7 linked regions of the Ovis aries genome follow. The protein of the gene in region 6 interacts with the protein of the main gene of each other region in a biochemical or structural test. Links are inferred from orthologs where the notes say so. Each region holds a gene or a part of one and is shown on either strand. Other genes may lie near its edges.

Evidence for each region.
Region 1: the proteins of NCK1 (region 6) and FASLG form a complex in vitro, tested with the Homo sapiens proteins (2 studies listed by BioGRID and IntAct, with this or other methods). The link is inferred for Ovis aries from reciprocal best matches to the Homo sapiens genes NCK1 and FASLG.
Region 2: the proteins of NCK1 (region 6) and ERBB3 form a complex in vitro, tested with the Homo sapiens proteins (2 studies listed by BioGRID and IntAct, with this or other methods). The link is inferred for Ovis aries from reciprocal best matches to the Homo sapiens genes NCK1 and ERBB3.
Region 3: the proteins of NCK1 (region 6) and LCP2 form a complex in vitro, tested with the Homo sapiens proteins (2 studies listed by BioGRID and IntAct, with this or other methods). The link is inferred for Ovis aries from reciprocal best matches to the Homo sapiens genes NCK1 and LCP2.
Region 4: the proteins of NCK1 (region 6) and SOS1 form a complex in vitro, tested with the Homo sapiens proteins (2 studies listed by BioGRID). The link is inferred for Ovis aries from reciprocal best matches to the Homo sapiens genes NCK1 and SOS1.
Region 5: the proteins of NCK1 (region 6) and MAP4K1 form a complex in vitro, tested with the Homo sapiens proteins (2 studies listed by BioGRID, with this or other methods). The link is inferred for Ovis aries from reciprocal best matches to the Homo sapiens genes NCK1 and MAP4K1.
Region 7: the proteins of NCK1 (region 6) and KHDRBS1 form a complex in vitro, tested with the Homo sapiens proteins (3 studies listed by BioGRID, with this or other methods). The link is inferred for Ovis aries from reciprocal best matches to the Homo sapiens genes NCK1 and KHDRBS1.

What each region holds. Positions count from the first base shown.
Region 1 is NC_056065.1:39,430,928-39,435,464, reverse strand, and holds the start of FASLG (tumor necrosis factor ligand superfamily member 6), read right to left. Parts: upstream 3,063-4,537; 5' UTR 2,853-3,062; coding exon 2,517-2,852; intron 1,431-2,516; coding exon 1,385-1,430; intron 1-1,384. UniProt on the Homo sapiens protein: Cytokine that binds to TNFRSF6/FAS, a receptor that transduces the apoptotic signal into cells. Involved in cytotoxic T-cell-mediated apoptosis, natural killer cell-mediated apoptosis and in T-cell development.
Region 2 is NC_056056.1:163,445,420-163,449,224, forward strand, and holds part of ERBB3 (receptor tyrosine-protein kinase erbB-3), read right to left. Parts: coding exon 3,688-3,805; intron 1,753-3,687; coding exon 1,639-1,752; intron 1,538-1,638; coding exon 1,417-1,537; intron 1-1,416. UniProt on the Homo sapiens protein: Tyrosine-protein kinase that plays an essential role as cell surface receptor for neuregulins.
Region 3 is NC_056069.1:2,324,849-2,328,653, reverse strand, and holds part of LCP2 (lymphocyte cytosolic protein 2), read left to right. Parts: intron 1-290; coding exon 291-340; intron 341-3,519; coding exon 3,520-3,611; intron 3,612-3,805. UniProt on the Homo sapiens protein: Adapter protein primarily involved in signaling pathways within T-cells, as well as other immune cells such as platelets, mast cells, and natural killer (NK) cells.
Region 4 is NC_056056.1:85,013,761-85,018,096, reverse strand, and holds the start of SOS1 (son of sevenless homolog 1), read right to left. Parts: upstream 2,939-4,336; 5' UTR 2,810-2,938; intron 1-2,809.
Region 5 is NC_056067.1:47,742,795-47,746,599, forward strand, and holds part of MAP4K1 (mitogen-activated protein kinase kinase kinase kinase 1), read right to left. Parts: intron 3,270-3,805; coding exon 3,193-3,269; intron 3,092-3,192; coding exon 3,031-3,091; intron 2,097-3,030; coding exon 1,988-2,096; intron 1,901-1,987; coding exon 1,842-1,900; intron 1,661-1,841; coding exon 1,557-1,660; intron 1,160-1,556; coding exon 985-1,159; intron 705-984; coding exon 639-704; intron 441-638; coding exon 351-440; intron 261-350; coding exon 190-260; intron 1-189. UniProt on the Homo sapiens protein: Serine/threonine-protein kinase, which plays a role in the response to environmental stress. Appears to act upstream of the JUN N-terminal pathway.
Region 6 is NC_056054.1:252,944,885-252,949,403, forward strand, and holds the start of NCK1 (cytoplasmic protein NCK1), read right to left. Parts: upstream 3,035-4,519; 5' UTR 2,919-3,034; exon of another isoform or gene 2,644-2,918; intron 1-2,643. UniProt on the Homo sapiens protein: Adapter protein which associates with tyrosine-phosphorylated growth factor receptors, such as KDR and PDGFRB, or their cellular substrates. Maintains low levels of EIF2S1 phosphorylation by promoting its dephosphorylation by PP1.
Region 7 is NC_056055.1:235,469,444-235,473,744, forward strand, and holds the start of KHDRBS1 (KH domain-containing, RNA-binding, signal transduction-associated protein 1), read right to left. Parts: upstream 2,815-4,301; 5' UTR 2,658-2,814; coding exon 2,276-2,657; intron 1-2,275. UniProt on the Homo sapiens protein: Recruited and tyrosine phosphorylated by several receptor systems, for example the T-cell, leptin and insulin receptors. Once phosphorylated, functions as an adapter protein in signal transduction cascades by binding to SH2 and SH3 domain-containing proteins.

The sequences.
Region 1 (4,537 bases), on a different chromosome or scaffold from region 6:
TCTCCTACAAGAGCCTACCTGCTAGGGCAATAGGGTGACTTGGTTTCTCAGGCACAGCCTGAGAATTTGGAGCAGGCTTCCCCAACTAGATGACCAGTGCTGTCTTCTCTTTGCAGAGGCATCTTGCCTGTCGTCCTTATTTCTCATTCCATGCCCATCAGAGATAGATAGGAGTAGGAGTTTCCCTGTGTCACAGGGCCGGAGCACACACTGGTAAGAGCTGGAGGTGGCAAGGCATCAGGAGCCTGAGCTCCTTCTCAGCCCCATTCCACAGCAGAGGTCTTGGGGACATTACTAATCCATCTGGTGTTTTGCTTCTCTTCTGAAAGGTGAGAAGACTGGACCAGATGTTCTCTAACCTCCTTTCCATCTTAGTTTAACGAGTATTCTAAATCCACAGTTTCCAAAACTATGTCCTGAAACTTTAGGAGGCCGATGTTCAACATTGTCATCTTCCTGTCCTGAATTTCACACAGAGGATTTCCCTTTATTATCAAAAGCAGCGCATGATTGTCTCTGAGTGAAGTGGGACTACCCTCTGTAAAATGCCTAACGTCTTCCTCCAAGCTTTCCAGCGGCTGCAAAAGAACCACCCTAATGTGGATGACTGGTTGCCCACTCTTTAAAAGCTTAAATATAACCTATTAAAATTTTAAATCAGGTCTGACTCTTAAGTAATTTTTTTTTTTTTTTTTTGCTATTGCTAAGTCACTTCAGTCATGTCCGACTACGTGTGACCCTATAGATGGCAGCCAACCAGGCTCCCCCATCCCTGGGATTCTCCAGGCAAGAACACTGGAGTGGGTTGCCATTTCCTTCTCCAATGCATGAAAGCGAAAGGTGAAAGTGAAGTCACTCAGTCATGTCCGCTTAGCGACCCCATGGACTGCAGCCTACCAGGCTCCTCCATCCATGGGATTTTCCAGGCAAGAGTACAGAGATTAAATAGGAGAGCAAGGATCTTTCCCAGCAACAGCTGTGTCTGTCTGCACCTTCCCTTCTCTCCTGAGGAGCTATAGCCACCGCCCTGTACATGGGAATCAGGAGGCCTGAGGAAGGGGGCAGGCCTGGAGCCAGCTGCTTGGGGTGTGGGGGGTGGGCAAAGGTCCAGGGTTGTACATCTGTGTTTCTCTTTCCAAATTCAAGCAGAAATTAGTTTTGAATTTTTCTGTGATACTTAACTAATTTTGAACAGTTAAACTCACTTCATATTTTAGGGCAGTTTCAAGAACCAAAATGACAAGAGATTTCAGAATTGGTTAGGATTTCTCTTCTATAGTCTATATATGCCTAAGAATAAGGTGGAATTCAAGGTACTCCTCCAACATGGTTGGTGCTGAGGACTGTTTTTAGAAACTCAACGTGCAAGCATAAAAAAACTCACCTATTTGCTTCTCCACAGATGATGCTGTATGCCTCTGGCTGGTGGACTGGCAAAAGAGAAAAGATACATAATAACTAGATAGCACATTCAAAAGCAGAGACATTACTTTGCCGACTAAGGTCCGTCTAGTCAAGGCTATGGTTTTTGCAGTAGTCATGTACGGATGTGAGAGTTGGACTGTGAAGAAGGCTGAGCGCCGAAGAACTGATGCTTTTGAACTGTGATGTTGGAGAAGACTCTTGAGAGTCCCTTGGACTGCAAGGAGATCCAACCAGTCCACTTTGAAGGAGATCAGCCCTGGGATTTCTTTGGAAGGAATGATGCTACAGCTGAAATTCCAGTACTTTGGCCACCTCATGAGAAGAGTTGACTCACTGGAAAAGACTTTGATGCTGGGAGGGATTGGGGGCAGGAGGAGAAGGGGACGACAGAGGATGAGATGGCTGGATGGCATCACTGACTCAATGGATGTGAGCCTGAGTGAACTCCAGGAGTTGGTGATGGACAGGGAGGCCTCACGTGCTGCAATTCATGGGGTCGCAAAGAGTCGGACACGACTGAGCGACTGAACTGATGAAGTTCTTTAAGCAAAGGAAGAAGAACTGTCAAATAAACTAAGCACTGGAAAGGGAATCTAAGCACCCAGAACCTCTCCTAACTCAGACTCTGGCCAAGCAATTGTGCCTGTCCATGCCTCAGTTTTGTGATTTGAAATAGTTCTAATAATTTTAAGCACTTTCAAGGAAATTTAGTTTGTGCATTTGAACAAATTCACTTCTCAGATGCCAAGTCCCTTTTCTTTCTTGAATCGAGTATGAGGTAGGTAGCAGAGTTCTTCCTCTCTCAGATGATCAGCCAACTGATCATCTGCCAGTCCTGATTTGATCCTGATCCCTCCCAAGATAGAAAATATTCCTTCCACCCATTTGAGCCCCCATTTCTCTGCAGGCAGAACAGGATGGCTAGCGTGATTCATTTCTAAGACAGGAAGAAAGGATTGAGAAGTATGCTGCAAGCCAAGTGTGGTCCATGTGGATTTCTGTCGCCCTCCTCCCCCACTGCAGCAGGGCAGTTTCACCCCATCCCCCACCTCCGCACATTCCAGGGTGCGGCAATCCCCCAGGCAGCTTACCTCTCTGAGTTCGGCCAACTCCTTCTGCAGATGGAAGAGCTGAAATATCCCCAGCCCCAGTCCAACCAGGGCCACCAGAACCATGAAAAACACCACAAGGAGACACAGGCCTGTGTTGTGGCCCCTCCTCTTCTTCAGAGGTGGTGGCGGTAGTGGAGGCAGGGGTGGCGATGGCGGTAGTGTTGGGGGTGGCGGTGGTGGTGGCCTCCTTTGCCCCGGCCTTCCTGGCACTGAGGACGGACAGGGGAAGACTGATCCTGGAGAGGCCCAGGGGGAGCTGGCACTGCTGTCCACCCAGAAGATTGAGGGGTATGGGTAATTCAAGGGCTGCTGCATGGTATCCAGTGCCTCAGGCCAGCCCCCAGCCAAGGGTTTTCCTCTTCCTCAGTCGTGCGGAGGCCCAGGTGTCAAGGGCCGGACTCCTATTTCTGACTGCTCATGAGAAGGAAGCCGGTTCTCTCTTTATAGAGTTTCCAGAACCAAGGGAAACACCTCTCTTTCGTTCTCTCTTTCTGCTTCTCAAAGAGACACCCACTCACTCTGCATCTGAACCTGAGAAGCTTCAAGAAGCTCAGAGCAAACCCCCGGAAGTTTCCGCCCACAACTTTCTGATGAAAGCTTTCAAAACCCCAGTCGCTGCTGCCCTGCTCCCTGAAAGGCTGGTAGGGTGGGCTCGTTGTCCTCAGGCCCTGAGACGGGGGTAGCGTCAGCGCAGCTCTGTAGGCTCCGGCCGCTGTTCAGCTACAAGGAGAGTGGCCTGTGGGGCGAAAGCACCGAGTCACGGCCAGAGGAGTCACTTCTGGGTCTTACCTTTGGCAGGAGGGAATCACCCCCTGCTGCCATCCCTCCCCCACACCCAAGTACTGTTTACCCTGACACAGCAAAGCACCGTAGTTTACAGGTTACAAACTTGCCTGCCTACTCTATAATAGATCAGAGATTGCAAACCAGTGGCCATATGCCTCACAGAGCCCTCAGACCTGCTTTGCTTGTGCCTTACAATGTTGTTTATTTCTATTTACCGTCCTCCTCAAAAAACGGGATAGTCCATAATGCAGACATTCATCTCTGTTTTGCTGAGTCTAAAACTTAGGCCAGAAAAGCACAAGATAAACCAACCACAGATGCCTGGGGCAAAAGATTACCGTTGAGACTCACAGTGGACTGCTGTTATGGACTGAATAGTGTTCTTCCAAAGTGTAAGCACCGAATCCCAATCCCCAGTGTAATTGTATTTGGAGATAATGCCTTTAAGGTGTAATTAAGGTTAAATGAGGTAGTCTGAGTGGGACCCTAATCCAACATGATTAATGTCCTTATAAGAAGAGGTAGAGGGCTCCCTTGGTGGTCCAATGGTTGAGAATCTGCCTTGCAATGCAGGGGACACATATTCCATTCTTGCTCTAGGAAGATCCCACATGGCATGGGGCAACTAAGCCCTACAGCTGCAACCACTGAACCCACGTTCCCTAGAGCCCATGCTCTACAAAGAGAGAAGTCACGGCAATGAGAAGCCCATGCTTGTCTACAACTAGACAAAGCCCACACACTGACAAGGAGCCAGCATAGCCAAAAATAAAGAAATAAATACTTCCTGAAAAAAAGAAGAAGCGGTAGAGACAGCAGGGAGGCATATGTACACAGAAAAGGCCAAGTGAGCACACAGCAAGAAGGTGGTTATCTGTAAACCATGAAAAGAGGACTCAGGAGAAACCAGCCCTACTGACTCTTTGATCGTGGACTTCTATCATCCAGAACTGAGAAAATAAACTTTTGTTGTGTAGGCCATTCAGAAAAATTGGGATAGTCCATATATGTTATAGTCATATTGGGTTTTGAAACACTAGAATATTGGGCAGTCTGGAGGCCCTGTCTGCAAACCCAGTCAGCTGGAGTTGGGCCACTGTTGCAGCTCTCAAGGTCAGGACATGGGTGTGCCAGGCTGCCTGGCTTGCACACCCTCCACTGTGTTTCCCATGAAACTCACTGTGAGAAATGGCCTTCCTGGGCCCTTTAGGCAC
Region 2 (3,805 bases), on a different chromosome or scaffold from region 6:
ATTAATGTAATATTGCATATCAACTATATTTCAATAAAAAATAATTATGTAAAAAAAAAATGCCTAACTTGAATCTAGGTGTGAGGAAAACTTTAGACAAACCGAAACTGAAGAACATTCTACCAATCACCTGACCTATACTCATCAACAATGTCATGGACATGAACTGTTACAGATTAGAGGAGACTGAAGAGACAATGGATGTACACGTTTGATCCAGGACATCAGTAAAACAAGAGAAATCTGATTAACATCTGTAAATTAGATAACATTTTGTATCTGCTAATTTCTTGATTTAAACAAATGTACTGTGGTTAAGTAAGAAAACGTTCTTGTTTTCAAGGAATACACCCTGAAATGTCACTGGGGTGAGAGGACACCATGTCTGGAAATTTACCTTCAAGTGGTTCAGAAAAACAAGAGCATATATAATGAGTGTGTGTGTGTGCGTGTGTGTGTTGTGTAGAGAGAGAAATGATAAAGCATATGGTACACTGGAGAAGGCGATGGCACCCCACTCCAGTACCCTTGCCTGGAAAATCCCAAGGATGGAGAAGCCTGGTATGCTACAGTCCATGGGGTCACAAAAAGTCAGACAGGACTGAGTGACTTCACTTTCCTTTCCTTTTTTTATGGTACACTGTTAACACTTGCTGCTGCTAAGTCGCTTCAGTCATGTCCGACTCTGTGCGACCCCATAGATGGCAGCCCACCAGGCTCCCCCGTCCCTGGGATTCTCCAGGCAAGAACACTGGAGTGGGTTGCCATTTCCTTCTCCAATGCATGAAAGTGAAAAGTGAAAGTGAAGTCGCTCAGTCATGTCCGTGCAACCCCATGGACTGCAGCCTATCAGGCTCCTCCGCCCATGGGATTTTCTAGGCAAGGGTACTGGAGTGGGGTGCCGTTGGGGGATCTGAATAAAGAGCATATGGAAAATCTTTGTACCATTTTTTGCAACTTTAGATACAATATTGTCCAAAGACAAGTGGTCCTAACGTTTTGTCTCTCTCTCTCTCTCTCTCTCACACACACACACACTCACTCACTGTAAACGCTGTCCTGTGGACTGGAATGTCCCTTGCTCTTTGTGGCTCCATACCAAGGAGCAGAACTAGGTGAAACAGCTGGAAGTCATGGGGAGAAAGATTTGTATCCAACTTAAGAACATTTAGAAACCTTTAAGAAGGAGGATACTCTGTCCCTGTCCCTTGCCATTCAGGTGGCTGGGTTGTTCAGGGGTGTCTGAGGGGATTCAAGCCCTGGGGGATTAAGCACTGCCAGGTCCTTTGTGATCTCTTTAAGATTTTATGATCTAACTTCCTGATCAGCTCCCCGTATGAAGGCTTGAACCAGTGCAATGAACTGTGAGGGGGTTGATGGGGTTGGGGATCAGAGGATGAAAACAGAATCTCTAACCCATTGAGGCCAGTGATAAGAAAGTCCAGGTTGCCCAGGATCTTGGTGCAGTTCACGAATCCATCAATGTTGCTCGAGTCCACAGTCTGGAAGCGGCTCCCAGAGCCTGTCCCCTCACAGGCTGCAAACAGAAGAGGCTCAGTGTGGGGATGAGGGGTCGGGGCTGAGTAGTCTCAGGGGAAAGGGTGTCTCTTCACCAACTCCTTTCAATCTCTTACTCACCTTTCGGGCACAGACCCCCACAAGGTTCACATATCTTGAGTCCATTTTTATCTACTTCCATCTTGTCAGCAGGACAGGCCCTGACACAAGACGTTTGATCCACCACAAAGTTATCTAGGAAAGAGGAAAGAGATGAGGGACGAACACTGCCAACTACCAGCTGAACCGCCTCCCTCCTTATCTGCATGGATTTGCTCCAATTGACCACCGGAGGTTCCTTAAGTGCTGGATTCTAAGCATGGATTAGAAAGGCCCTTTGCTCTCTGGATCCCAAAAGCAGAACTAGAAGCAATTGGTGGAAGTCATGGGGAAACAGATACGGGGAACAGGACATAGGGGCCATTTGTTAAGGGTGATGATGATCACAACCCATTGCCCTTTACACTCTCAATTAAACTCCCAACTTGATCCATTTCACCTCCTAAAATTGCATCTAGGGAATTTCCTGGCAGTACAGTGATTAGGACTCCGTGCTTTCACTGCTGAAGGCTTGAGTCCGATCCCTAGTCAGGACATGGCCAAAAAAAGGAAAAAATTTCATCTAAAACCCTGGTTAATATTGTGGGAGGAAGCACAACTTAAGGAGTAGAATGTGCTTACCCCTGGGGTAAGATATATAGCAGGAACCAGCCTGGCAACATGGCCAGGACTGCCACTCAAAATAATCACCACTGATTTAAAGTTTTATTTAGACTTCATTCATACCCTTGAAGTCGATAAAAGTCTTGCCACATTTTATTAGTGAAGTTGGAAGATGTATCATTTGTTTGTTGTTCTGTCCCCTCCCCCAATACTAAACTGTGAAATTTGATTTGTTTAAACTCTGGATGAATCATAGCTTAGTTTGCATGTCCAGCTAATTTGTTTCTATACATTTTCTTTGATTCTCTTTCTCCTTCTCTCAGGGTTTTTACCCAATATATATATGTGTATGTATATAGGTATAGATACATAAATAGATCTTCCTAAAAGTTTTTTGAGGTGCAAGTTTCTCTGTTTTGTTTTTCTCTGTGATTTATGGACATGATGCTGAGATTCAATCACTACATAAAACATCCGGCTATGAAAACAAAACAGAAAACCCAAAGGACTGTTTTTTCCACCAGCTCCGGGGAAGCTATGTGTCAGTCGGATGCTGATTTCAGAAAGATTCACTGTTCCTTCCATTCTGTTTCTCTCTTTCCTCTAGAAAGAAGTTGATCCTAATGATTTCAGCCCATGAATTAAACAGGACAAAATAACAAATGTGTGGAATTCATATTTTTCTAAAGGGAACTTAAAAACTGCTGCTACATGTTACATACAAAATTGGTTTATACCACATGAACAGAAAATCCCAAGTTCAGTTTTGGTATTTTTCCTTCCTCTTTGTTTTCAGTCATATAGTACTTCCAAATTCAAAATGAGAAGAAAAGCTCTTTTGTATCAAACCATCTATGCAATAAATGTTATATTTTAAAAACAGCAGGTCGCTGGTCACACACACAAACACACACAGAATAAGATTAAATAAAATCCTGTCAGGGACTTCCTTGGTGGTCCAATGGTTAAGACTCCGTGCTTCCAGTGTAAAGGGCATGGGTTCAATCACTGTTCAGGGAATTAAGATTCCACATGCTGTGCAGTGTGGCAAAAACAATATTAAAAAAATAAAATGGATAGGACTTCCCTGGTGGCACAGTGGACGGGAACCTGCCTGCCAATCTAGGAGACACAGATTCAATCCCTTGTCTGGGAAGATCCCACATGCAGTGAAGCAACTAAGTCTATGTGCCACGACTACTGAGCCTGAGCTCTAGAGCCCACGAGCCACAGCTACTGAAGCCTTTATGCCTAGAGCCCATGCTGCTCAACAAGAGAAGCCTCCACTATGAGAAGCCCACACATTGAAATTAAGAGAAGAACCCGGTTCACCGCAATAGAGAAAGCGGCGCAAAGCAACAAAGATCCAGCGCTACTATTCATAAATACATAAATTTTTGTAAAAAAAAGGCTAAAAGAATAAAATCCTGGTTCCACTCCCATTGTTCCTTCCCTTCAGACACTTACGGGGACAGCTGGCTACACACACTCCTCCATACTGATACTTGGTATAGGGATTGGGTTCCAACTGGAAAGTTAGCTTGTTGTAGACTAGAGGCTGTGGACACTGGCGTACACAGGCCCC
Region 3 (3,805 bases), on a different chromosome or scaffold from region 6:
AGACTCGAGGTCCTCACACTGCTGCTGCCTGTTTAAAGCAGCTTTTGAGGCTCTTTCCACTGTTCTGTTCTTGCTTTTGTTCTTCATCTTGAGAAGCTCGTTAGACTCCGGCCTGGTCTTCCTGAGACAGGAGTGAAGTGTGTCCAGCAAGTTCCTTCTTTTTGCCCTGCCCCCGTGGTTTCAGGGAGGGGGTGAGAAGAGTCAGAGAAGCAGCATTTCCCCAATTCAGGTCCCTCTCTGACGCCTTAAGCCCGACCCAACTTCACATCTGTTCTTTTTTGTCTCCACAGCAACCCTACCTTTCCGCAGAGCGCCTCCCTGCCGCCATGCTTCTCTCAAGGTTTGTTCTCTGCGCTCTAGTGACCGACTCTAGCCCATATGCCGTCGTCCCAAAGCCTTTCGGCAAAAGTTTTGTTGTTTCCTAAAAGCATCCGACTTCATTATTCAGCACTTCGGTTTCTGAAGTGTACCAAAGGTTGCTGTAGTGATAGGATACTCCACACAACAACAAAAACAACACACAGACACACACACTCCTCCGCAGGAAGGCGCCCTTGGCTTTATCTTCCCAGGCGGAACTTTTCTTCCCGGCTGTTTTTATATGATGCTTAGGATGGTGCTAGCTTTCTCTGTAGTTTAGATTTCTATAATGAATCTAACCTGGAGTGCTAGTTGAGGAACATGTTTAAAATACAGATTAAGGGACCCCCAACCCCCAGGATTCTGATACAGTAAGTCTGGCTGAAGACCTGTATTTTCTAATAATATTTCCTTTGGGTGTCGATGGTAAGTATTTCTTGAGAGAGTCCTCAAACTTTAAAAGGCACGCAAATCCCCTGGGAGCTATGTTAAAATGCAGATTCTAATCAGTGGGTCTTGGATGGGACCCAGGGTTCTGCATTTCCAGCAAGTTTCCATGTGATTCCCAAGTTCCAAGTTCCCAGCTGGTATTGCTGGTTCATGGACCACTTCAAGTAGAAACAAAGGCCTACCCAGTAGGACTAGCTGTGTTTATTTTCTATCCTTAAGGACTTGCAAGTGACTAGTACATGGTAAGCACTTTAAAACATTTGTTGAATGACTGTCAAATGACTATGGAGAGTCACCCAACTCTAGTAAACAATTTTTTCTTCTCATGCTAGAAAACACATCTTGTGTTACCAGATTTTCTGATTTATTTTTCAAGAAAACATAGAAATATGGCTTTCAATGTGAAATTACCTAATTTTTAAAGATTGACTTAAGATTTAAAAATTCTGTGAGGAAAAAATAAAACACTTTTTTTTTTTTGTAGTCATGTACACATGCAGGAACATTAGTTTGTGTTATAAACAGAAAACTAATAAGTTTAAATTTTCACTTAAGAGTCGACTCTTTCTTTTAGGGGCATGTCTATTACATTCAGTTGGGTACATCATGCCATATATGTATGAGATTCTACTGCTGACACCAATGAAACCCACTGTATTTTCAATGTTTCCTAAGCATTTTAGGATATAGTGTCCTTATTCACTACATGGCTTCCACAACTCCCCCCACCCCTCAGTGGCCACAACTCATTATTTTGTAAACCTACTTTGTGTCCCTAGCCTGGTCCGTCCAGGCATCTGAGCTTGAGACACTTCACTTATAGCAGTATCTGCCAAAGTAAATTCCATAGACCCCTGCTTCTATGAGTTGGTGACAGAGATTATTAATATAAACAGTTGGCTTTTATTATTTTTTTGAATATAATCATCCCTCTAATACAGGAGGGGGGATTGGTTCCAGGACCCCCCACTGATAACAAAATCCCAGGATGTTCAAGTTCTCTGTATAAAATGATGTCGCACAGTTGGCCCTTCACATCCACAGCTCCACATCCACAGACCTGGCTAACCCATTGGTTGAACCAGTCTGTAGTCGGCTGAATTCACCGATGCGGAAGCCATGAACGCAGAGGGCTCACTCTACTACCTTAATCAAAATCGATCCCTTTTCTCCCAAGAGTGCCAGGACACCTGGTCCTCAGTCTAACCCACTGGTTCCCCAAGGTCAGGAAGATAAAGCATGTGCTTTATATTGGCCAAAAACCTGTGCCAGTTCCCTTGAGGATCTATTTATTAAGGGTGGAGGGTGACTGCAATGAAAAGTAATATGTTGTCTGTCATGAACAGTGACTTTGTGGTGCTGACCTGCAGATGCAGATGGAGAATAATTCCTCAGTTCTAAGACAGCCATGCCCTGTAGACCTTCATTGCATGACTTTCTCACGTAGCTAGATCTCACTCACTCAGCAAGCATTATACAATGTTGCACTGCAGAGATTGTCATGCGGAAGGTCTGCTCAGGCACTGGGAGCCTTAAGAAGGAAGATCAGCAGCTCAGGCTAGCCCCATCTGCATCTCGAATAATCCTGACTAGGAAGACTTGGACTCTTCAAGTAACTCTCCCCTCTCAGGGGCCCTGGGGCAGGCGATTTACCCTCTGTGGTGTATTAGATGTATTAGATGAAGTAACAGAGCTGGTGCAGAACCACCTGGAGTGCTTGTTAAAGGCAGATTCTTGAGCCTGGGTGATTCAGGGTCCCCCTGGAATTCTCTTTTACGCACAGTCATATTTGGGAACCACAAGCTCAAGTTCTGGCTCTGCCACTAAGACACATGATTTGTTTAGACTCTCTGAATCTTTGTTTCATGATATTCAAAAAGAAGACAATACCCACCTTGTGGAGTTGCTGTGAGGATGAAAGGTCATGCACACAGGTGTCTTATTCAGGGCCTGGACACAGCAGTGCTGAAAAAATATCTGTTGAATGAACAAATGAGTGATGCATGAATTGTTAAGAGAACATTCAACTCACGGACTTTACCAGCCTGAAATAGCTGTTCTGGCATATAGAGACAGGTTTAGCAACTGCAAATCAACACAATCAAACCTTCCCTGAGATTAGGAAACACATTCTCTTGAAAAATTTCATGGAACTGTCAACAAGGAAAAAAAAAAGCATTAGAGAAGATGAGGCACAAATGCTGGGTAATTTACAGACTCCGACACAGGCTTCCTGATGGATCAGATACTGTCAGGGCCTCCTTCTATGTGAGTCTAACAGTTCTACTTCTAAAAGAAATTTGGTCAAGAACAGCAGGTAGTAAGCTCTGGCTCTGAAATCTAAGAATATTCAAGGTAATTTCACCTCATCTTGGGTAAGTCACATGTCTTGTTGTGAAAATGAGAACATAATTATCCTGACCTCCACATTTTACCATTTGGTGGTATATATGTAACTTGCTCAGTTAAGCAACCAATCAAGTGTGCGGTGTAGTGTCTCAGAATTTCACTGGCATGGCTGCAGAATAGGGCCCGAAACAGCCCTTGTGGTTTTGAACAAGTGAAAGTTATTTTGGAAGCTGTGGTTTCTTGAAACGTTAATTGCTGGGAACAATGGCAAGGGCATTGTGGAGGGCGGGCAGTGATGGGCTATGACTAGTGAAAAATTGCTTAAAGTAAATTAACGTTCAAAATGCTATACTTTCAAAGGCCCCCTCAACAGACCACTTCCCAGAGTGGAAGGCAGGAACTTCTCGCCAGTTCCCAGCAAACCTAGACCACAGTCCCCTGGGGAAGAACAGGTAATAAGGCATATGTTCCTATTTTATTTCTACACCAGCAAACGAATCATCAGAATCTTCCACTGAATAGTCTCCTATACTTTTATTTTCTTTTACTCTTAATTTTTTTAGTGAAAAATATTGAGGGGAGAATTCAGTTGAAAAATATTCTTTTTCCTTGATGTTCCTCTTCCAATGGCAAATGTGTGTTTCAC
Region 4 (4,336 bases), on a different chromosome or scaffold from region 6:
TCTCAAATCTCTCAGAGTCATGGCCAGATTATTTCGTGGTGCTTGTATTGGTGTCTTTAGGTTTTCTGGTGAGGTCTTAATTTGTGCCTTTTTGGCTAAATCCCACTAACTGGATTTGTCTTCGTGGTTACATATTCCACTGAGGGCTTTAAGATTCTGTTTCTTCCTAGTACTTGACAGTGTTTGTTAGGTAATATGTGGACATTTAAAATAGTGCCAATAAACTAAGTTGTGTACATAGAAAAACTTGACATTTTTATTTGCTAGAAGGTAAGCTCTTTCTCATGTTAGAAATGCAAGAGCTGCCAAATGGAAGACAGGAGATTGTTGAGTAAGATGAGTTCTCCTACTTCTTTGGGAGAGAACATGGCAACTAGTGTAATTAAACAACTCTATGGATTTATTTCAAGGGATCACATATCAAACTGTAGAAGTGAATATATTCAAAAGTTATAGAAGGTATTAAAAATAATAATCAGTATTTACATAGCTCCTTATGCTACCAAGCATATTAACATAATTGTTTCACTTAATACTTATAACAACTTCAGGTTGTTAAAAATTTTCATTTAGAGTTGAAGACACTGATGATAAAAGGACATGACCTGTAAGTGACAAAGCCAAAATCTGACCTCTGGTTGGATGCCTTTCAGGTTAAAAGAGAAAGAGGGCAAATGTGGAAAGACAATGGCACCAGTTACCTTGAAGAATCAAATGTGCTAGAGATCTTTGGTTATGAGCAGAAGCTCATTCAGTGTAGATCAGTCTTTCCGCTAACATCCAGAAGATGACCTAGCTGATGTCTAGTGAGTGTGATAATGAGTGAAGAGCACTGGTTAAAGAACACTCATCAAGACCCAAACTGACTGACTACTTACATATATATATTTTTTGGCAGGGTGACAAAAGATAGAAAATGAGTAGTCTGGCATCTAGCCAGTTATCTAACATAGATGTAAATATTTTTCTTGCAAAAAGAAGGAAATCACCTATTGGATCACTGTGAAGATATCAAGCAAATTTCTAGCTAGAATGTAATCATAGATTTGATAGAATACAATGTCTGGACCATTTCTTCATTATGGTGCTTTAGATTTCCCCCATAGGGTGGTTATACATGTTTTATGAGAAGATGATTTCCCCCTGGGAAGTAGAGCAGTGTTGACTAAGATAAATAAGAATCAAAGACAGAGGCCAATGGGTAACCGGGAAGAAGGATTTTTAGATTCCCTAGAGTATATTCTAGGCTAAATAACATCTGACCCCCAAATTATAATCTGAAAAGATACATGTAAAAAGTGTTTAAAGCAGCACTATTTACAATAGCCAAGACGTAGAACCAACCTAAATGTCCATCGACAGACGAATGGATAAGAATGAATACAATAAATGTGGTATTCCATACAATGGAATGTTTTGTTGTTGTTGAGTCTCTAAATTGTGTCCAACTCTCTGTGACCCCATGGACTGCAGCATGCCAGGCTTCCCTGTCTTCACTAACTCCCAGAGTTTGCTCAAATTCATGTCCATTGAGTTGGTGATGTTATCCAACCCTCTCAGCCTCTTCTGCTCCCTTCTCCCTTGCCTTCAATCTTTTCCAGCATCAGGGTCTTTTCCAATAAGTCAGCTCTTCACATCAGGTGGCCAAAGTATTGGAGCTTCAGCTTTAGCACCAGTCCTTTCAGTGAATATTCACAGATATTCAGTGAATATTCAATGAACTATTTCTCTTCCATAAAAAGGATGAAATAATGCCATAGGCAGCAACATGGATGGAGGTAAAGACTACCATACTAAGTGAAATAAGTCCGAAAGAAAAAGAGAAACACCATATGATATCAGTTACATGTGGAATCTAAAAATATAACACAAATGAACATATCTATGAAACAGAAAGGTTTCCCTGGTGGCTCAGCTGGTAAAGAATCCGACTGCAATGTGGGTGACCTGGGTTCGATCCCTGGGTTGGGAAGATCCACTGGAGATGGAAACTGCCACCCACTCCAGTATTCTGGCCTAGAGAATTCCATTGATTGTGTAGCCCATGGGGTTGCAAAGAGTTAGACACAACTGAGTGACTTTCATTCATTCATTCATGAAACAGAAACAAACTCACAGAGAGAACAGACTTATGGTTGCCAAAGGGGAGAGGGCTGGGGAAGAAAGGACTGGCGGTTTGGGATTGTTTAGTTGTTGTGTCTGACTCTTTTGCAATCCCATGGATTGTAGCCCACTAGGCTCCTTTGTCCATGGGATTTTCCAGGCAAGAATAGTGGAATGAGTTGCCTTTTTTTTCTCTAGTGTTTGGGATTAACAGATGCTAACTATTACAAATAGAATGGATAAACAACAAGGTCCTGTTGTTTAGCACAGGGAACTATATTCAATATCTAGTGAAAAAACAAAATGAAAAAGAATATATATATATATATATATATATATATAACTGAATCACTTAGAGGTACAGCAGAAATTAACACAACATTGTAAATCAACTATACTTCAACAAAATTAAAAAGATAACTTTATGCCTTAGTTAAAGTTTGCATATAAATTGAGAATATGTTTCTCCACTAAACAGTATACAATTTAAAAACATACTGTTTCAGTTATCTATTACTGCATATCAAATCCAACCTGGAAAGTAGTGACTTAAAACCACTGGTTTATTATTTCTTATAGTTGGTAGGTTGACTGGGCTCAGCTGGGCAGTTATTCTGTTCTACCTGATGCTGGTTAGGGATGCTGATCTGGGGATCTTCAGCTGGTGGCTACACTGAGTTGGAAAGTCCAGGAAGGCTTCACTCACATGACTGGCCCCCGTGGTGCTCCTCCACCTGCCTCTTCCTCTCCATGTGGTGTCTTATCATTTAGTTGTATCTAGCTCAAGCTTCTTTACAGCATGGAGGCTGGCTTCCTCAGAGAGAAATGGAGGACTTCTCTGTCTGGGGAAGAAGCTGCCAGACCTTTCAAGGGCTAAGCCCAGAAATGGGACAGGGCATCTAAGGAAGACACAGGTCATAAGATGAGGAGAGGGAGCGAGATTTCATCTCTTGATAAGAGGAGTGGAAAGTATCATGGTAAAACTGATGTAGGTTCAGAGAAATTGTTGTAGCTACCATTGGAAATAATTGACCACACTCTTTTTACATAAGTGCTATTAAAAATAATGAAAGCAGAAAGGTTAGTTCAGAAAAAAATAAAAGAACTGAAGTATATTTAAATAGTGACTCATTCATTATTTTATCAATTGTTTTTCTCTCTGATCACTAGTCTAAGTTTGGTCTTGAGCCTTTTTGTGTTTTTAAACCTATAACAGAAGCTAGCTTGGGCTTGAAGATACAAGAACATCTTGCAGCTTAAGTATGGTAAAGGGCCAGAGAAAAATTTGAACTGAAGGAAAAAGAATCTTAGAGCCTCAAAGTAAAGCTGTAAAGATGTTCTCAGAGATAAACATCAAGCCGGTCAGACTGGAAAAGTTTTTGCTAGTTTTCCATTTGTAAAAATTCCCAGCCATAGGCAACAAAAGGAATAGTTTGCTACATCAGCTATTCAGATATTCCAACTGATAGGAAATAAAATAACAAATTCTGGAATTAATATACGAAGATGACAGTTTTTCTCACTTAAATACAAAGTATTAGTCAACAGACTAATAGCTGAGTTGAACAAAAATTAGGAGACAGAAATAGTTCTAACTTTTATTAAAATAAGCTAAAGAACATATTCAGGTTGAGTGATATATTCGAATATAAAGTCACCAAAGTTTTTAATCCCATTCTTAGGTTTTACAAGCATCTTAAGATAAAAAAAATATTATGTATACTTAACATAATACAACTAAAACTGTTTGCAGTACATTATATCTAGAAGTATAAATTGTCATTATGCTATCAAATGCTAATTGAATCATAGCTATAAGTTTATGTGATTTGAAGTAGACCTGCTTTTATACAAACATGTCCTAAAATCATAAGTAGACACACAACATCTTCAAAGTAACAAAATATAGAGATACAGTCAGTGACTAGTGCTCAGGACAGAAAAGAAGAATTGTAACTTTATAAATACAAGTCATTTATACGCCTGTTAAATAGGAAAAAAAAAATTCTTGGCCTGATTATAAGCTTTAAGGATAAGTTAAATATAAGGTTGACTGAGACTGTGTCCCTGTTGCTGAAACATAAAACAGATAAAATTCAGTTCTATTTGCAGAATTCCATTAAGTTGTCATTTACCGAAACTACCAAAAGTTTTACTGAAGTTAGAAATGTACTGAATGTTCTTTGCCTTAATGGATATCTTAAATTAGTATTTCACAGCATATGTCATTTGC
Region 5 (3,805 bases), on a different chromosome or scaffold from region 6:
CAGTGACCCTGGTTGAGCTCTGGTCCCAAGAGACACTGGAGCAGAGACGGGGACCTGTCTGAACTGAGCCTAGAGAAGTGTCACCTCCAGGGACTTTACACCCTGAGTGAGTCTGTTCTCCCAATGGATCTGATGAGTGAGATGATTGACGTGGGAGGGGCTTGCGGGTGCTAGGAGGAAGGAGCTTACCTGATCCGAGCCTAGAGCCCAAACCTGCACTCCATGCTTCCAGAAGGCCTGGAGCCGACCCCCGACCATAGCTGGGAGGAAAGCAGCGCCTGTTACCCTTGGGCTCTACTTAAGCCTCCAACCTGGACCCCAGACCCCGGAATTATCATTCCGGCACATACCCACGGCCTCCACTGCTTCAGTCATGGGGATCTCTGGAGTTCGAAGCCCCCGGGCCGGGGCCCCCTCTGGGGTCACCAGCTTCAGGGACCCTAGAAGGAGGTAGAGAATGGACTGTAAGAGCAGTAAGCGGGCTTGAGAAGGTTATCAAGGGACAGGACAATACGTTCAGTGTAAGAAGCAAAGCAGGACGAGTAAGGACTGGAGGGGCTCAGAATCTCTCAGAGGTGCGGGGTCTGGGGGTCGGTATCTAGGCACAGTGGAGGCAAGGGAGGGAGGAAGGTTCTTACCGTCCATCAACACCATCACCTTGTCTTCCTCAACCTGAGTCACCTGTACTGGTCCCTTGTGCTCTGCTTGAGAGATCCAGGTTCAGGGACCAATTTCACCGCATTATGCCTTCCTCCGCTAGGCCCCCCTCTCCATTCCCAAGCAATCGGGCTAACCCCCGCCCATCACAGAATTCCCCACTCCCCATCATCAATCTCATTAATTATATATACCCAATGTTCTCCCGCCCCGCTCACGGTTCATCCCCTTTCCCAATTACGCCTCAGGCTAAGCACCGCCCAGTCACTCAGACCCAACCCAACCCAACTGATAAGCCTCACCCGTCCCAGAGCCTGCGCGACTCACCCGTGCTCATCTCGCCCAGCCAGCAGGAGAGCGCGCCGAAGCGCACGGTGTGGAAGAGCACCGACTTCGCCGGCCTTCCGGGGCTCACGCCGATGCACACTGAGGGCAGCTCGGAGCCTGGCCCGGTCAGCAGTGCAAACACCGGCAGAGGCGTAGGGAGCGGAAACAGCACCTGCTGCGGGCCGCGCAGGGAGGGGCGGGTTCAGATGAGGGGGCGGGGCGGGGGCGGGGCCTGAGGGGCGGGGTCTTGGAGGACAGTGAGCTTGGAGCTTCCGAAGTATTTCTCCCCCCTCGCCAAGTGTTTCTCGAGCCCTCAGTTTTGGGAAGCACCATCTAGAAACTTCAAGGAGGTGAGGCCTCAGAAGGCTTAGAAAGTAACGGGTGGCGTGAGGGCCGGAGCTTAAGGATCAGAAAGACTTCAGGGGAGGAGCCTCCAGGTGGGCGGAGCCTTGGGGAGATTGTGGGAGGCCTCGGGTGGAAGCCCAGGTTCGCGGAGCTCGCTGCGGAAGCGTAGAGTAGACGGCCCCAGCCACCCAAGCTGACAAAGCCCCTAGCGTCTCCAGGCTCCCTACCCGGACCAGCAGGAACTTGTTCATGGGCTGGTACCACTGAAGCAGGACCACGGATGTCTCCAAAGCCCCACACAGGAACGGGCCTCCGGAGCTGGTGCCCTCCGCTGTGGAGGCGGGTAGGGAGCGGTCAATGGTCTCTCCCGCGACCCTTCGCCCCCAAAGGCCACACACCTCTCCCCAGGCTCGACTCACCCTGCCTTAACTCTGCAACCCTCTCCTGTGGAGAGGGAGTCCAAGTCCCACCCTTGGTCTTGCCCCCTGTCTGCCCACCCCTAGGGTTCTCACCCACACAGCACGCCCGGCAGCCTTTGGTGTCCGGGATCTTAGTGGAGACAATGTTCTTCCTGCGGCAGAAGATAGGCATGAATGGGGGCGAGGGACGGCAGGAATGGGGCATTAGAGGGGTCAGTGGTACCACTAGGGGCTGGTACCTTGCTAGTAGCCGGTGGGGGCTAATGTGAGCGATGGGGCTTCCTGCTCTGCCCTCTTTCCGTTCCAGCAGGCCCAGGATGCTATGAGAATACAGGTAGGGGGTCTTTCCTGCAGTGTGTGTGTACATAGGGAAAGCAGGCAGTTATAGGCTACTGCACACTCCCACCCTTCCCTCAGCCCATCACTCGGCCCCATCCCTTTTAAATGCCCAAGTCTTCAAGACTCAGGCACCTTTGTTTATTCATTTTTTCATGCAACATGTTAAAAAAATTTTTTTTTTGCCTGTGCCCCACGACATGTGGGATCTTAGTTCCCTGACCAGGGATTGAACCCATGCCCACTACTGTGTAAGTGTGGAGTCTTAAACACTGGACCACCAGGAAGTCGCAGTGCAACATATTTTAAATGTCCACTATAGGCCAGGCACTGTGCTTGGCTCTGGTGAACAATGGTAAGTAAAATAAATATGTTCCCTACCCTCATAGTACTTGTGGCCGCATGAGAAATGACAGACACTTAACAATCAGATGAAGTTACACGTATTACAAAGTTTAACAAGGAACATCTAGAAATTCTGCAAAAGTTTGTCATCACAGATGTGATATGAATGAGCTCACTCATTCTATTTGGCTTGGGGTCTCCTCATAAATTAGAAATTCTTTTACACAAGGTGTTTATAAAACAATGACACAAAATTTTAATCCACAACCTGCTCACTCCATTTTAGCAAAGCATGGAACAAGTATTGTCATCTTGTCAACATCAAAGAAAGGTAAAGACTGACTTCTTGTGGAAATTACCTCAAAACTGACTTGAGAGGTGGGCACTATTGTGAGCCCCATTTTAAAGATGGGGAAACAGAGGCTTAGGAAGAAGTGTCTTGCCCCAAGTCCCACACTGAAAAGGTGGCTGGAATTTGAACTGTAGGCTCTGTGAAGGGGGAGCCTAATTGTTTTCTCTGTGCCCATCTATTTCCCAACCTCCTTACCTTTGACCCCTTAAGTTCTGACTCCCACCCCTCCCACCCAAGCCACAGCCAGACCTGAGAGAGACATGAGGACATTGTTGATGGAGTACACCCAGGTAGTCCGGCCAGAAAAAAGCTGCAGGGCAAGGGGGAGATGGCTCCTGTAAGACCCCAGCAAGCCCAACTTCAGCCCCCACCCTTGGCCCCCCTTGACCCACCCCAGGGACTGCCCCTCACCATCTCCAGCGTAGCCTCCTGGTCATTTCGATTCAGGATAAAAATGCCTTCCTCGGCCCCCAGGAGCAGGTGCTGGTCTAGGGGGGCACACACGATGATGCTAGGACCTACTCCATCACACGGGGCCTCCCAGACCGCATATGACCCCAAACACTGATGCTCTGTGCCTTCAGTTCTCTACTCTCCCCTCACACTGACATTTCCAGCCTTTGTTTTCACAAATCTGAACTCAAACCCTGACCAGTTCCCTTGAGCTGGTCTCATTCTCACCAGCCTCTGACTTCCCCTGTTCTGGTAGTTCTCCCATCTCTGACCTGCAAACCCTGACCATCTGTCCCCTCAATTCTGACCCCAACATCAGACATGTCTTCCCCAGTATCTCTCTCAATTCTGTCTTTCTCCCCAGTTCTGGTCCCTGAATGCTAATCCTATCTCAACACTGATGCTCAAATTCAAATACCCTGACATATGGCTCTTTCTGTCCAGTGTGACCCCACAAACTCTAATACTGTTTCCTTAACATTTACTCCCCACTGACTTTGTCTCCACATCTTTGATCCCTAAACTCTGTCCCTTTCTGCTACATTCTAATCCCTAAAACTCCTGACCCCAA
Region 6 (4,519 bases):
AGATTCATTTTTAATGGGTCATAGGACTCAACAGTGGACACGCCAATATTATTTTAGTTAATGCTGTTAATATACCCAACAAGCTAGAGAAAGACTTCCTGTAGACTTTAAATCACTGTTTCAAGGATTCAAACAATTCAGGTCATAAATGTTCCCCTCCCCTCATACAGAAGTTCTGAATCTAACCAATACACAAAACGCAAAGTAATGTGAAGCAAACAATACAAAATGACACTGCAAGAGATGAAAAGAAGTATAGCTTCATAAGAATACACACATAAATTTTAATACACAGAACTTGAGTTAGGAAATCAAGTAGGAAATTAAGGTATATGTAAGTCAGCTCTGCCAGGGTCACTAGGTGAATTTCAGTGAACTTAGTCTGTATGGATTACATTTTCCCTATGTATAAAATGGAAGGATGGATTCAACATTCCCACAATATTGTTCTGTAGTATTATAATACAAGTCCACATATTAAAAACCAAAGAAATGATAAAACAGTAAGGGCTGTGGGTTCAAAGGAAAGCAACAACACAGAAACCGAAAGATCTAGAAGGCTGTGCAGAAGGACCAAATGTGAAATGTTAACAAAATCTGACTTTACTTGCCACTTAATTTAAGGAGGAAAATTTCTTTTAAAAAATACTAGCAATAAACAGGCAAAGTGTCAACAGACATGAAGGCAGGAAAATACACAATCTAGATGAGAACAAGAGATTGGTTTGTGTTAGGATGGACAGCTCCTATAGAGAATTACTGTTATCATTAGAAAAAAACAGGTTTTGAGCAGACTGTTAGAAGGCTGGGAATTCTGAACTATACTCGAAATAACAGGGAACTAATGCTGGTTTAACAGTGAGGGTGGTGGAAGCACTATTTTAGAACAAGGCAGAAGCCAGAACATACTAAGGGAGAAAAGAGGCAGAAAATCCGGTTAAAAGCTACTGGGGGGAAAAAAGAAAACGAGTGGTTAGAACAGATATCTGAAAGAAATTTCAGAAAATGGCTGACAAAAATTGGGCAATGTTATGTGGTGAGAGGAAGTCTTAAGATAAAACCAGGGCTTATGCCTGGGTAGTTTAAGGCATGATAAATATCACCAAAACAAAGTCAGCATATGGAATCAGTTTTGAAGGAAGACTATAAATTCTATCTTTCAAATAAAGTGAGGAACATCCAGACAGAATTGTTGCCTTATTAAATAATCTTTAAATGTCATTTTTGGCCCTGTCAATTGTCTTCCTAAAACACCACAGCAAAGTATTAACAGAGAATTTGTTAAATGCTTAGTGATTTCAATAGTTTCCTCCAATTCTACTTATTGACGAAATAAGAAAATCATTTAGTCTTCTGGTGTAGGCAGAAAAATATCTGGTATTTTTCCATATTACAAAGGTAAATAAATTGTAAAAATTGTTAAACTATAAAAGAATAAAATAGACAGGATATGGATTTATTAAGTCTTCCTGACAAGTGATTTATAACATTTGCATCAAATCTACCTTGAGTTTTGGCAGGGAAGTTCTCAAAGGTGCAAAAAATCCAGTGGCCTAAAACATATCTCAATATCTAACAAAACGTACCCTGTTATGTTTCATGTTTTATTTTCAAGGACCTGAAAGCACTAGTAAAATCTAGACTAAATATTTAGAAAAACAGAACAAACAAGTTTAAAATTTAATATATGAACAAGCACAGCTGAGAAATCCTGAACATTCTGCAAACTGTTCAGAATTTTCCAAAGAAGAAAATCGTAAAGTTTGCAATAAAAATGAAATAAAACTATTAATCAACCAAAGCACAGATCTCGAGTTTCTATCAAACTATGAGGGATATCTATTTAAGAACTGAATATTACTGACAATTACCAAACAGAACCTTCTTCTTGGATAATTCCCCATTTACTCTGTAAACTCCCTGAGGGTTGAGACACAGCACTTTCCATCTGCTTAATAAACTGTATGGTTGGTCTTTCTTACATCTACCAAAGTAAGATTTTTAAAAATGAATACCTCTTGCAACATTTACTTGTCCTGACTGAACAGTGAGCTTTTTTTTGCTCACCACCCAAGATGGGGATAGAAATTTCTTCAACTCATCCTTTCCTAACTCCCCTGGTTTCTTGCCAAAGTTAACGGGCAGAATTATTTTTAAGTGACTAGTTCATTAGTGTGACACTAAACTGGGCGTCTGTAAAGTAAGGGTTCTCAGTCCGGCACAAAATTCAGCTTCCCGAGCTTCTAATAGCAAACTTTTATGGACACACACAGGAAAGGTTACAAAACCAACTACCAAGATACATTTTTCCCCCCGGATATATTACAACTCAAGTCAAAAGCTTACAGCCCAAGTAACTCACGTACGAATCCATGATATTATAATAACCCAGATTTCCCAACAAGGGAAACTGCAGGGGGCTGGGTGGGGGGAGGGGCGGGAGGCGCATCCCGAGGATGTCCATCCTCCGCACCCTGAACGGCTCCCTCCCACTCCTAGAGGTAAGCGCCCCTCTCCACCACCACCGCGGCCTCGGAATGCGCCACAAAGCCGTCAGGACTTTGAGAGGTAAAGAAAAGGAGGAGGGTGCACGCCACACACTCGACCTCTCAGCCTCCAGGGACGGCCGGCCGCAGCGCTCACCCGGACCCGACGCTCCAGGGAGGGACAGGAAGGTCGTAGGGCTGCGCCTCCCAGGGCAGTGGCCGGAGGGTCGCGCGAAGCCGCGAGGCAAAAAGCCCAGGCCCGACCAAGCGGCCTCCCCGCCCCCTCCGGCTTCGCTCCGAGCCGGCAGACGGCGCCCCGGGAGCTAACTTCAGCAGGGAAGAGGAAGCTCCGCGGCAAGTAACGGGCTATGTAGATTCCCCAGACGAGAAAAAGGCTGTCTGTGCGTCTGCCTGCCGGCAGGACCGTCTCACCTCCCCTCTGCCAAGCCCGGGCGGCGCCAGCTCACTTGAGGAGGGCAGGGACGCCGCCACGGCCGCCGCGATGGCCGTTACGGCACGAGGCCTCCGCTCTGCCGCCGCGTAGCTCTGGGGAGAGAGGCGGGGCGTGCGCGGCGGGAGGGCGGGGCTGCAGCGCCGACCGGTCGCGAGGCCCTGGGCGGACCCGCGCAGACAGGAAACCCCCCCTCCCTGCCCAATCTGATAGGTTCAGTCTTCCCCTTCCCTCCTATCACTGACGCGAGGGCGGTCTTCGCCGCTCTGGGATTGGGCGAGCCCTCCTGTCAATCAATTGCTGTGCTAGGTGTGGAGCTGAGGCTGCTCGGTGGAGAGGGAGTGAGAGAGACAGAAGCGCCCTGCCAGTTTCTGGGTTTTGTTGCTTCTGTGTCTCTGGCTGATTATTCTGGGGCCTTCCTCCTCAGCGCCACAGGAGATTCCACAACAGAACTGACTGCTTTCCGAGTTAAGCCCCGACTGCTCTGGGAGCTTCCTTCTGGTTTCTGCACCTGAAGAAGGTCTTACCAGCGGAAAGTTCTTAGGGACGGGAGCGAAAATGAGAAGCAAACAAAAAGGCCTGAACGTAGAGTCCTGAGAGAAAAATGTAAGACGTGTCCTTAACTTGAACCGCAAACCAAAATAAGCTGAGTCTGAGGGCCTTCGAAGCGCCCTGGTGCGTGGATAGCTTCCATTCTTGGTTGCCGTAGCCTTGCTGTGAGGACAGTGACTTTCGGTGACAGGTCTGTTCTTTCTTAGCTGCCCAGCCCCAGACACCTGCCATCAGTAAGTTGGTTCTCCCCACGCCGGAGCCTCAGACCCCATCACCTGCCTCTTCCTCCCCAGCCATCTCTGTGGCTCTGCGTAGGCGTTTGCCGCCCAGGGAAGCCTGGTAAGTGCACAGGTGTTTTCCCCATCCAGCTGCTGAAAGAGCCAGACTTTTTGCGACTCCATGGATCTGAAGCCCACCAGGTTCCTCTCTCCATGGAATTTGCCAGGCAAGAATCCTGGAGCTTTTTGCCATTTCCTAGGGATACAACCAGCGTCTCCTGCACTGGCAAGGGGATTCTTTACCACCTGGGGAGACCTCCCTACCCCTACATGATTTCAAATCAGAAATCATGTCAGTCAGTACTGTTTTTCCCCAGTACCTAGCACATGGTAGTGTTAGGCACTTAGTCCTGTCTGACGCTTTGCGACCCCATGGACTGTAACACATGGAATTGTCCAGGCAAGAATACTGGGGTGGGTTACCATTTCCTTCTCCAGGGGATCTTGGACCCAGGGATCGAACCCAAGTCTCCCACTTTGCAGGCAGATTCTAGCACATGGTAGATCATCAGTAAGTATTGTTTAAGGCATTAGTACAGCTTCAATCCCCAATTTCATTCATTTATGCTTTTCTGTATTTAACTTCAGAATTATTCATTTGTATCCTAATAGAGGAATATGGTTCACTTGCCATATATATGATCACACGGTCAAGCATAAATCACCTGTGGCCCCTTCCTGGCCTCAAGTTGAGAGGGCAAGTGGACCAGGAAAATCTGGGCAGCAACTCCATCTGTATCCTGTAATTAGGA
Region 7 (4,301 bases), on a different chromosome or scaffold from region 6:
CAATGCAGGGGACCTAGGTTTGATACCTGGCCCTGGGATCTAAGATCCCACATGCCACAGAGGAATGAAGCTTATTGGTGAAAACTAAGACCTGACACAGTCAAATAAATAAAATACATATGTTTTTTAAAAAGTGAGAGGGGGAAAAAAGCTCAAATTAAAAAAAAAATTAAAGCACGCTCTCTCGTGACAAAAGTTAAGCAGTAAGAGAGAGGTGAAAATTTTATTTAAGGATCAGGCTTTCCTGGTGGCTCGGATGGTAAAGAATCTGCCTGCAATGCAGAAGACCTGGGTTCAATCCCTGGGTAAGGAAGATTCCCCTGGAGGAGGGCATGGCAACCCACTCCAGTATTCTAGCCTGGAGAATCCCATGGACAGAGGAGCTTGGTAAGCTCCACTGTCCATGGGGTCACAAAAGAGTCGAACATGACTGAGCAACTAAAACTTTCACTATAAGGATTGAGTTTTTGATAGCTATTCTAAGAAATCGTATTTTACTTAAAAGACTAGACTAGCACTGGACACCTGATGTGCGTAGAATAGCAAGAAAATTTTTGCGTTTTCATCCTAAATCTGTACCACGAATTTACAACTAGGAGAAAACTGGTGGCAAGTTATTAGCTAATGATTACAGGTCAAAAGGAACTGTGCCAGAGCTTTTTATACAACATTTAATCCTCACAACTCACCACCCCACTTTACAGATGAGCTTAGTGAGATTCAAAAAGTTTCCCAAGAATAGATGACTAGTCAAGAGCTAGAATTTCAAAGCCAAGTCAACACCTTACAGTTCTAAAGTTTGTTATTTTATTCTATACATTTAATCTGGACTGTTTGAAGATGCAAGAAAATAAAAATAAAACCCAGTCAACTTTTACCATTGTCTGAGGTTCTTGAACCTACATGTACTTGCTTTCAGATTCAAACAACTGGTATTTGCTATATGCAAGACAATAAGATTTAAAAAGCTTTCCTTGCCCTCAAAGAGTTTGCCAGAAGAACACAATGAACAGTAATGTTTCAAACAATCTGACTGTGTTATAGAAGAGCAAAGCACAGAGCTGAAGCCGTAAGCAGTTTATTTAAATGTTATTCTTGAATGTCTGGGGCTTTGTTTACTGTTTAAAAGTAAAGATCTCTAATGTTGGGAGACAGAGAACAAACGCAGGGAAAAAGATATTTTCATATAGGGCCTGTCCATTATTTCAATCCTGCCAAAGAGTCCAACTACTCACTCAGTGTTGGAAGGTTTTGAATTTTTATTTGCTTATAAAATTTAGGTATCATAAGACACTCATTATACCGTTTTAACAGGAAGAGAGGGCAAAATAGGCGGTTTTCAGGAGAAATCAGAGCGACTAGATGATGGCTAGTTTTGCGCAAAAAAGGAGCGCTAGTCTACAGACAAGAGAACAAAGACTACTATTCCTCGTCTGTTTCACTACTGAGAAGAGCGGGGGAGGAGGCCACGCAAACTTCTGTCAATTTTTTTCCCCATCTGATTGGGAATGCCACGCAAACCATCCTTAACCTCCTTCTATCACCCCTTCACCGTCTCTAGGTTTATTTTTTTCCCCTTTCTTGAATGCACAACACACATTATAAAATAAAGGGATCCAAAACGTCTGGCTAGGCAGAAATGACCATCTTATCTGCCGAGGTCGGAAATATAATTCGGAAAACCTCAAGCTCGGATTCCCACAGGTTGCTCCTGCCTCCAAGCAACTCAAGCTCCAGTTACCGCTAAGTCCGACCGGCCCCTGCGGCCGCGGCGCTGGACAGGGCACCCCAGTCTCATCCCATCTCACCTCGCCCCCCGCCCCACTCACGGTCCCTCCCGGCTCAGGCTGTCTTCACCTCCTACACTCAGTTGAGGCGCCGACAGCCACCCGCGATCAAACAAGCTTCCCCTTTGGGGGAAGGGGGAGATGAAGGTTCCTTTCTGGAAGAATCTGAGCACTCGGAGCGCAGGGCAGCTGCAAGAGGGGAGGAGGAAGGGTCGGCCAAGGGGGCGGGGAACGCGGCATTTATCCATCAAGATCTTTGCGCTAAGAGATGGCTAAGTTCCCTCCGGGCCTCCACTGCCGTCTGGAAATTCTCCCTCGCACTCTGGGCCGGGATGGGAACGTGGAATCTTAAGCTTCCGAAGATGAAGATGAGAGGAGTCCACGATTGCCGAGGTCCTCAGGGAACGGGAAGCAAGAGGAACAAAGCCGCTACCACCCATGCCCCTGGCTGGCCCGGAGACCCAGAGGGACCCCAGAGGCCCGCTTACCTGCCGTCAGCAACTGCATGGCGTGAGTGAAGGACGGGTCAAGAGAGTCCTTCTCGGCCATGAGTTCGGGCAGATACTTGTTCTCCGGCTCCATCTTGACGGAGGCAGTGGCTGAGGGGGGCAGCAGCGGGGTCGGCGCTGGACCGCCCACTGTCGCGTCGGGACCGGTGGCCGAGGGCGGCAGCAGCGGTGGCGGCTGCGTGGCGGGCGAGGCCCGGGCGCCCCCGCGAGACCCTCCTCCGCCTCCCCGGGACCGGTGAGGCAGCGGTGGCTGCCGAGGGGGCGCCTGACGCACGGAGGGGTGGGCACCTGAGGGGTCCATGGAGCCGCTGCGGCCCGAGGACCGGCTCATGCGAGCGGCGGGGTCGTCCCGGCGCTGCATTGGGAAAGATGTGCGATTAAGGGATCGAGGAAGCGACGCGGTAGCGGCAGAGGCCTGAGCGCCGGCGGCCCGAGCGGCGGTTGGCGGGGGTGGGAGAGCGGGAGCGACAGCGACCGAAGCCGACCCGAGCGACCCAGCAAAAGAGAGCACCGGAAATGAGGCGGCGCGCGTGCGCAGCCAGCCACCGGCACCGCCCTTGGGTCTCTCCGCGGAGAACAAAGTCCCCGGTCGGGCCACGGCGCCTGCGCACCGCCGTGGAGTCTGAAGAAGTCGCCTCCTCTCTCCCCTTTTCCCTCCGAGCCCTCCAGGCCGGGTACTTGAGCGCGTGCGCGGGAGGCCGCGGGCTCCGTTCGTTTCTTTTCCACGTGACTCGGCGCTAGCGGGACACGTGTCTCCTCCCTCTTCTGGCCGAGCGCACAGAGGGGGCGGGGGCTGTGGAATGTCTTTGTCTGCGCGCGAGCCCGCGGAGTGTGGGGCGGGAGACCTGTTACTCGCGGGGCCACGCCTCCAACGGCTGAGCTGTGGAGGGGGGGTGCCTGTACTCAGTCGGTGGGTCGGGCGCGGGGTGGGGAGGGGAGTGGTTACTGAAGAATGAAAGGAGACCCTCCCGGGGGATGCGGGAGGGGAAGGAGAGGGAATTGGGGCTGACTGGGCAGAAGAAGGCGAGGGTGAGAGGCGCAAGGGAGATTAGAGTGAAGAAGGAACGACTAAGGGAGAGTCTGACGTAGGGTTGAGGGGTGGAGATGCGGCCAGACTTGGAGGGGGCCATTGAGGAAGGACTGGTCAGTGGAAAGACTGAAGGCTATTGGAGGAGTTAAACTAAGAGGGAGGGTTCAGATCAGGGACCTAATATCCAGCCAGGAAAAGGGCCCCAGACCGAAACAGGGAGTCCAAGAAGTCGTATCCTGTCGTTTCCAGTATAGTGGGTTCTTAGACTTAGCCGTTGTTGATCAGAGAAGTCGTCTGAAAGGTGAAGCATTTTAACTCTCTGCGTATAGTACTGCTTTCTGCAGATTGTGTTTCTTTCACAAAAAAAGTGGGGTAGAGGCCAGCTCTAATCTGTGATGGTTGCATCATTCGGGTGGCTTCTTCTGATGTGAGTGCTAATCCTCCTGCTGTAAATCATCTTTCTACACTTGCTCAAAGAGATAGACCCTTACCACAGCTCTCAAGGCCAAGGCATTATAGTGGACAGTCTCCCACAGCCTACTCCTTATCCTGGGGTGCTATATGCAGATGAAGGCTAGGTCCTTACTTTCCATAAACTCTAACACTTGGTACCTTCTCTAACCCTTCCCCCCACAGATTTTTTTTTTTTTTCTTCTCTCATTCAAAGCATTTGCTCTCATCCCTTTTCCTTCTGGATCTGTTCCCCTAATAAACCCACGCTTTCCAAAAGCATTTCTGGAAATTGTCTTCTGGGAGCCTAAAAACTGCTGATTTGTAGATTTGAAACTTAGAAGCCTTCAGCTTAGGGAACATTAGGGCTTGGCTGCCTTCTTGGGGGTAGGGAGATAAATCACCAGCAGGAATGAGAACAAAACACAAATCTCCATAAATTATCACATAGGTCACATAGATAGTTTATAATCAAGGAGGAGGAAAAAAGAAAGGAATGTTTTTGGATAATTGTAATGAAGAATG